Linked DNA regions of Callithrix jacchus. The protein of the gene in region 2 interacts with the protein of the main gene of each other region in a pairwise test. Links are inferred from orthologs where the notes say so. Each region holds a gene or a part of one and is shown on either strand. Other genes may lie near its edges.

The links. The genes of interacting proteins can lie anywhere in the genome.
Region 1: the proteins of GRAMD1C (region 2) and CD151 interact in binary tests that used the Homo sapiens proteins (3 or more experiments, as listed by UniProt). The link is inferred for Callithrix jacchus from reciprocal best matches to the Homo sapiens genes GRAMD1C and CD151.

The regions. Positions count from the first base shown.
Region 1 is NC_133511.1:131,070,682-131,074,705, forward strand, and holds the start of CD151 (CD151 antigen), read right to left. Parts: upstream 2,801-4,024; 5' UTR 2,744-2,800; intron 859-2,743; exon of another isoform or gene 742-858; intron 629-741; exon of another isoform or gene 569-628; 5' UTR 562-568; coding exon 481-561; intron 392-480; coding exon 200-391; intron 1-199. UniProt on the Homo sapiens protein: Structural component of specialized membrane microdomains known as tetraspanin-enriched microdomains (TERMs), which act as platforms for receptor clustering and signaling.
Region 2 is NC_133516.1:88,836,829-88,840,996, forward strand, and holds the start of GRAMD1C (protein Aster-C), read right to left. Parts: upstream 2,801-4,168; 5' UTR 2,702-2,800; coding exon 2,675-2,701; intron 1-2,674. UniProt on the Homo sapiens protein: Cholesterol transporter that mediates non-vesicular transport of cholesterol from the plasma membrane (PM) to the endoplasmic reticulum (ER).

The sequences.
Region 1 (4,024 bases), on a different chromosome or scaffold from region 2:
GGCTCCCTGAGGCTTGCTTTCGGAGCTGGTGGCTTCCCTCAGGTGATCTAGCAGGAATATGGGGACCCATAGGACTCGGCAGGTGGGGAAGGACCGTGCCCCACCCCAACCTGGGCCAGGTGAGCACAGCAAGGCACAGGTTCAAAGCCCCCTTGGGCCCCATCCGCACTCCCCGACCCATGGCCTCCGCCCTGCTGACCAGGCGCAGCAGGTTCCGCCTCTCCTTGAAGGTGGCACAGCAGCCCAGGACCCCAGTCACCATGACGACAGCACCCGCCACCACCAGGATGTAGGCTGTGGCCAGATACGTGCCGGAGGCCAGCAGGCTGATGTAGTCACTCTTGAGGGCCAGCGTCCAGATTCCCACTGCCATGACGGCCAGGCCGGCCAGCTACAAGCCAGTAGGTGCTGGTCACCGAGTCTGCCTGGGTCTGAGGGTGGCGCAGGACGGGGGACGGACACGGGGCAACGCCTCCTCACCCAAAAGCAGCAGTTGTAGGTAAACAGCAGGTACTTGAGGCAAACGGTGCCACATGTTGCCTTTTCGTTGAACTCTCCCATCCTGGGGCTGGGGAGGCACAGGAGGGGTCAGCAGGGCCACAACACCAGACCCGTGACAGGAGGACAGCTAGAAAGAGGGGACACAGATGCCCAAGCCAGCCCAGGACTGGGGTGGAGCCAGCCGCTCTCCTGGGAGGCCTGCGAAGGAGCCCCCACGGGAACAGGACGTGAGCCACTTACCTAGCGACTCATGAGCCTCACGCAGTACAGCCAGGATAGAGCCCTGGTGACCCCAGACAGGACGGGGGTCATGTAGGGCCTCCAACCATCACTGCTGACTCACCCCAGCAGACAGCCGGGGGAGGAGGCCCTAGCAGGTCCCTCCAGTGAGCTCAGGCCGGTCTGCCCGCCCCCCATAGCATTCCCAGGGGCCCACGTCACAGGCTGGTAGTCTACAGGCCTGCAGTGAGGGTGGAGGAGGCCACTCAGAGAAAGCGGAGGGGTGGGGTGCAGACAGCAGCTGAGCGCCCCGGGCGGCGTTTCCAGACAGCACAGCCAAGCCTGGACTTTAACTGCCCCGCCTGCTCTGCCCCACCCTGCCCAGCACTCCACAGCCAGCTGGGAACGACTCCTCGGTAGGACAGGTGGACAGAAGCTCCCCAGGAGTCTAGGCTAGAGGGACAAGGGCACGTCAGGTCACAGGTTGCAGGTCTGGCCCAAGGGCCAGAGTGCGCGAGGTTCATTCTGGAGGCAGAATAGGACTGGCCAAGCCTGGTATTTTGGTCTGGGCTAGGGTGGGGCAAGGCAGAGGACATTTCTTTGTTTTTCTTTTTTACTTTTTTTTTTTTTTGGTGGGGGAAGGGGAGGAAATGGAGTCCCGCTCTGTCACCAAGCTAGAGTGCAGTGGTGCGATCTCGGCTCACCGCAACCTCCTCCTGGTTCAAGCCATTCTCCTGCCTCAGCCTCTCGAGTAGCTGGGATTACAGGCACCTGCCACCACACCTGGCTAATTTTTGTATTTTCAGTAGAGACGGGGTTTCATCCTGTTGGCCAATCTGGTCTTGATCCCTTGACCTCGTGATCCGCCCACGTCAGCCTCCCAAAGTGCTAAGATTACAGGTGTGAACCACCACCTCGCCCAGTGATTTTGTTTTTTTCTGCTCTGATCACCCAGACTGGAGTGAAATGCCTGGATCTCAGCTCACTGCAGCCTTCACCTCCTGGGTTCAAGCAGTTCTCCTGCCTCAGCCTACTGAGTCGCTGGGATTACAGGCGCCTGCCACCTCTGCCAGCTACTTTTCGTATTTTTAGTAGAGACAGCGTTTGGCCACGTTGGCCAGGCTGGTCTCGAACTCAGGTCACCCACCCGCCTTGGCCTCCCAAGGCAGAGGACATTTCTGGCCTTACCTCCAGACCCATCGCTGGCCTTCCCCACCCCGGCAAACAGCAGCAGCCACAGCCTGGGAAAGAGGCACCATGGAGCTGGGGGGGGTCCAGACCTGACCACTGAGCTGAGAGTCACCCTCCGTGACGGAGCTGGGGCCTAATACACGAGGAGTGGCAGGAGCAGACCCTGCCACTGAGCCGGGGGGACCTGCCCCTGGCCTGGCTGTGAGGTCCCAAGCCTTCTGGGGAGGCTGGTTCTGGGCACAGATGCAGCCTCCACCGCCAGGACGCAGGCGACCCGCTGAGGAGTGGCCGCTCTTCCCAGGAATGCCTGGTCCCCGCGAACCGCCTGGGACAAGGCCGGCCAGAAATAGCTCTCCGGCCCTCCCCCAGTCCCCGGGAACTGCACCAGGCCCCCGGGCGGCCCGCGCCCCATCAGGGAGAGCCCCCACAGGGGGGACCCCGGACTCCGCGCCAGCCAGGCGTCCCCGGCACTGCAATGAGGTCACCGACCCCGCCCGGCGCGGCCAATGGCGCGCCCACTTGCACGCGGGCGGAGGGAAGGGGGCCGTGTCCAGAGACAATGAGCGGGGCGTCCAGGCTGGGCGTCCCGGGGCCGCTGGGACGAAGGGGGTCGTCAGGCCCGTCCGGGGCCCCGGGAGGCGACTCTCCCACCCGCCCGCCGCCGCCTCCGCGGAAGGGCCTGCGAGGAAGCTGGGCAGGCGGTGGGCGCGGCCTCCCGGGCTCCCCGGGCGCCTGCGGCGGGGCCTCGGGTACTGGGGCGCGCAGGACCTTCGGCCCCCACGGCCGCCTCGGCCCCCTCGCCCCGCTCGGCCGGCGCCGCGCACTCACTTACCCACCACGCGTCGGAGTTCGGGCCTGGGCGGCGGCGGCGGCGGCGGCGGCTGCGGGGCGGCTCCCAGCGCGGAGAATGCGCAGCCCGGGGCCTGCGAGGAGACGCCCCGCCCCGGCCCCGCCCAGGCCGCAGGCCCCGCCCCTTCCCATCCCCGGCCCCGCCCCAGGCCTCAGGCCCCGCCCCTTCCCCGTCCCCGGTCCCGCCCCAGGCCTCAGTCCCCGCCCCTTCCCATCCCCGGCCCCGCCCCAGCCCGCAGGCCCCGCCCGCGGTGGCAGAAGCCCGGCAAGTCTGAACCCGCGTGGCGAGCGGCAGCCGGTGGGTGCAGGCGCTGGGGGTCGACCCCGCACTGCGGGGGCCGGGCGAGCTGCAGCCCTGAGGGCGCCAACAGCCCATCAAGGGTCCACCCTAGCCAGGGACGGAGGAGGTGAGCGGGAGGCGGGCCCGGAGTTATGGCGGCGACCAGTGCAGCCAGAGGCCCCACGCTGTGGCGGCCGGGCCCAACCCCATCTCTTTCTCCGCACCCTGGAACCGCCCAGAGGCTTCAGGGGTCGGCAGAACGGTTGCCGGCCTGGGGTAGGGGAGGGCCTGGCGCTGTGGGCAGATGCAGGAGAGACACTAGGCTGCGGAGACCCGGGCAGGCCTGGGGTCGCAGCCAGAGATACTGGCAGGGGCCACTGGGAGTGGTGCGAGCAGGTGAGGGAGGAAGGGCAGGACCGGCCTAGGGCGGCACCAGGAAGCCAAGAGTGGGAGTGAGGAAGGAGGTGGCTCCCCCCCTCCGCCCCCCGAACTCATTCATCACTGACACAGATGAGGACTGGGCAAGACAATGGGGAGCCCTGACCCACACACTGTGCAGGGCCCTGTGGGGCTCCAGCCTTGATGAGTAGTATGCGTTGGGGGGTATGACCAGGGACACAAGAGGACACACAAGGACCTCAGCCCTGGTGCCGCAGGCCCACGTGGTCACCCACACGGCACGCGTGCACAGTGGCCACCCATGCAACGGGCACACACAGGCTGCGGCTCCCAGACGCAGGAAGGCCAGGAGGATGCAGTGCAGGCAGTGGGTTTATTTGATCGGGGGTTTTCTGCTGAACTGAGATGGGGTTGACTGAATGGGGACAGAATGAAGACTGGCAGAGGGCACACGGGACCCTGACCACTGGAGGCCCCTGACCACTCCAGGCTAGTTCTTCATGTCTTCGGTCAGGCAGGCCTGGGGCCCCCTGGGGAGAGCCCGCATCCTGAGCAGGCATCCCCCCACCCATGACAAGTCTCCTG
Region 2 (4,168 bases):
TTGAGCTCGTGATCCACCCGCCTTGGCCTCCCAAAGTGCTGGGATTATAGGCGTGAGCCACCACTGTTTAGTGTTTCTTTCAACACCTCCTCAGCCACAGTTGGTCTTCACCTCCAGAGAAACCTAATATCCCTTTACCTGGCTACCCACAGAGTACCTCAACAGTCTTGCCATCATACCCAATCTCTACAGGAAAGATCTTAACTGCATCCAATTTTCTCCAGGACCACAGGTTTAACATTCCACTGATGACACCCTCCTCTAAGGACAGTCTTTTGACATACAAAGGAGCTCACGAAAGGGGTTGGGCCATTGTGATACACATAGTGTAAGGCCTACCACCTTGGTCAACTTTCTGAAAATAATTTGATCTCTGTCACCCAGGCTGGAGTGCAATGGCACCAACAGGGGTCACTGAGGTCTCAAGCTGCTGTGCTCAAATGATCTTCCTATCTCAGCCTCCTGAATAGCTAGGACTACAGGCACCACACAACCATGCCGGGTTAACTTTTTTTTGGTAGATACGGGGTCTTGCTATGTTGCCCAGGCTGGCCTCAAATTCCTGTCCTCAAGCGATACTTCCTTCTGCCGTGGTGTCCAAAGGTGCTGGAATTACAGGCATGAGCCACTGAACTGGGCCACAATGGCTTACTTAAATTCAAATTCAATTAAATGAAAAATGGTGCATGTCAGTCATCAATCAAACATCAAGGATGAATTATCACAAATCTCAGTCTATTTCATTTGCCTCACCCCTCCCTCTTCCTCTTCCGGACCTCATCTGGGCAAGCTGATAAGAAAGCCTGCGGCTGTGCTCAGTGGCTCACACCTGTAATCCCAGCACTTTGGGAGGCTGACGGGGGTGGATCACAAGGTTATGAGATTGAGACCATCCTGGCCAACTTGATGAAACCTAATCTTTATTAAAAATACAAAAAAGGCCGGGTGCGGTGGCTCACGCCTGTAATCCCAGCACTTTGGGAGGCCGAGGCGGGTGGATCACGAAGTCAAGAGATCGAGACCATCCTGGTCAACATGGCGAAACCCCGTCTCTACTAAAAACACAAAAAATTAGCTGGGCATGGTGGCGTGTGCCTGTAATCCCAGCTACTCAGGAGGCTGAGGCAGGAGAATTGCCTGAACCCAGGAGGCGGAGGTTGCGGTGAGCCGAGATCATGCCATTGCACTCCAGCCTGGGTGACAAGAGCGAAACTCCGTCTCAAAAAAAAACAAAAACAAAAACAAAAAAAATTAGCAAGGTGTGGTGGCATGCACCAACTACTTGGAAGGCTGAGGCAGGAGAATAGCTTAAAACCCAGGAGGCGGAGGTTGCGGTGAGCCGAGGTCGCACCACTGCACTCCAGCCTGGGGGAAAGAACAAGACTCCGTCTCAAAAAAAAAAAAAAGAAAAAAAAAAGAAAAAAAAGAAAGCCTGGAAGTTCCTTCCTTCATCTTGGGTGGGAAATTCAAGCAATCTCCTGTCTGCATACAGGAACTCTCACCCTGGCCCCACTCCCTAACCCAGAAAAAAAGACCTGGAGCCAGTCTTTTCCTGAGGCTCTTTTAAGCCTTTTTGGTGCTGCTTGAGAGACCTGCCTTGCTCTCCCCAGAGACCTCAAGTATGTAAGTAAAAGGCTTTTTCATACCCTCATGGTGTGTGTGTGTGGCATCATCAGTTTCTACACCTGAACAAATTTAGTGTGGGGGTTCATTCCGGCTTTCTGGGGTGGCAACAATAGATTCCTGTCTCTCTAACTTATCAGCTGTGTGGTCCTTAGCAAAGTCAATCTCTGTACATCTGTTTCCTTAACTCTACAACAGAGGAAATAATTATCTCTAGTCTAGACAATAAGCTTATTGAGAGCAGGGATCAGGCCTGTGTTAATTACCATTTAATCCCGGACACCCAGTGCCAGAGACATAGTTGAATCAGTGACTGATTGGGTTCATGAATATCCAAGCTTGACTATTTCATAGTAATGTTTTTCAAATCAAGTGAAATAACACACTCATTTGTTCATTCAACAATTATTTGTGTACCTCCACCAATCTGTAAATGATAGTGCTCTTCAGAAGATATAGCACTGACCACATTTTCTCTAAAAGTAAAATATATACGCACAAACCAATGTGGAAGGAGGACGGCGTTCAGAAATGCAGGCGCACCTCCAACAAAAGCGGAGCTTCACCCTGAATATTAACCAGCAAGTTTTCCATTTTGTCAAATAAGGTAGTAAACAAATAACAAAACTAGACTAGTTGAAACCAAAAACCTGGCTGACAGCACAGTGATTTAAACTATCACTGTGTAATAGGGCCGAGAATGAAAGGAAGGAGGCGAGGCTGCAGAAACTAACACTGAGTCAGAATCACCACCATGGAGCCTGACCCAAGGGGGCCTGAGGCTGAGACATCCGCATCAGCACATTTCTGGCCAAAGTCAAGCCCTCAGCGCCCACAGGGAAGCAGACGTTCCCACCACCGCCCGGAGGGAAAGGGCTCCCGTAAGCACAGGAAACCGTTCCCTCGGTAACAACTTTCCCTGTTACTCCAAAGAGCTCGAAGAGCAGGGAAGGGAGGGATTAACTGTAATCTGAGAAGGTCCAAGCAATCACCGTGAGAAAAAGTCGGGTCAAGCCTCGGGTGGGAACCGCCCCCAGCGAGGCCCGCTTACCTGGCGTACAGCCCGAGCGCCCTCCATCGCGGCTCCCTCGGCCACCGCGGCACCGCCCCGCGCCCACCTCCAGCGCGCTCTGCGAGCTCCGGGCTCCTCGCGCCTCCTCCGCCGGCCCTCCCGAGTACTTCCAGCCGCAGCTCCTTGCGCCCTCCCGCGGCCGTGAAGGACTGACTCCTGACGATGGGTGTTACTGGATTAGTTCGGAGGCTTGTCTTTCTAAGGGTCACAATGAATCTTAACCTATTCTCAGCCTCAAACTTCTGTGCCTACCAGGAAATGACGTTACCTGCCCCAATGTGCGAAAAAGTGAAATGCTTGGGAATTTTTTTTTTTTTTTTTTTTTTTTGAGACAGAGTTTCGCTCTTGTTGCCGAGGTTGGAGTGCAATGGCGTGATCTTCACTCACGGCAACCTCCGCTTCCCGAGTTAAAGCGATTCTCCGGCCTCATTCTCCCGAGTAGCTTGGATTACAGTCATGCACCACCACGCCCGGATAACTTTTTATTTTTGGTAGAGACGTGGGGTTTCTCCATGTTGGTCAGGCTAGTCTCAAACTTCGGACCTCAGGAGATCCGCCTGCCTTGGCCTCCCAAAGTGCTAGGATCACAGGTGTGAGCCACCGCTCCTGGCGGGAAGCTCTTGTTCCTTCCAATAAAAGACTGAAGTTACTGATAAAACGCTGTTATGTATTGTACATCCTTGGTTTTGTAAACCAAGAATAAAATGCTAAGGCCCAAAGCCATCTGTATGGGCCCCTACTCTTGGCCAAGAGCATTCCAGATTCAACCTTAATATCTAGTTCAGGCCATGATGAAAGAGGGGATTGGACATGCCTCATTAACATCAACACAGACCTTAAGTATGATAAGAAATATTTATCATCTATTCCCTCGGAAGCCTGCTACTTGGAGGCTCCATCTGCATGATAAAACCTCAGTCTCTACTACCCCTTATCATAACTCAGACTTTCCTTTCTACTGATAACTCTTTTTTTTTTTTTTTCTTTGAGACAGGATCTGGTCCTGAGAGCCCGGCTGGAGTGCAGTGGCACAATCTCAACTCCCTGCAACCTCGGCCTCCCAGGCCCAACCAAACCTCCCACCTCAGCCTCTCAAGCAGCTGGGACTACAGGCACATGTCACCATGCCTAACTAGTTGTTTGTTTGTTTGTTGAGACGGGTTTTGCCATGTTGCCCAGGCTGGTCTCAGACTCCTAGACTCAAGCAGTCCGCCTGCTTTGGCTTCCCAAAGTGCTGGGATTATACGTTGTGAGCCACAACACCCAGCCAATAATAATTCTTTCAATCAATTGCCAATCAGAAAAATTTAAATGTACCAATGACCTGAAAGTTCCCGCTTCTCCCTGTTGGAGTTGTCTCCCCTTCCAGACTGAAACAATCATGTAAATCTTGCATGTATTGATGATGTATCATCTCCCCAAAATATATAAAAGCAAGCTGTGCCCCAACCACCTTGTTCACATGTCAGGACT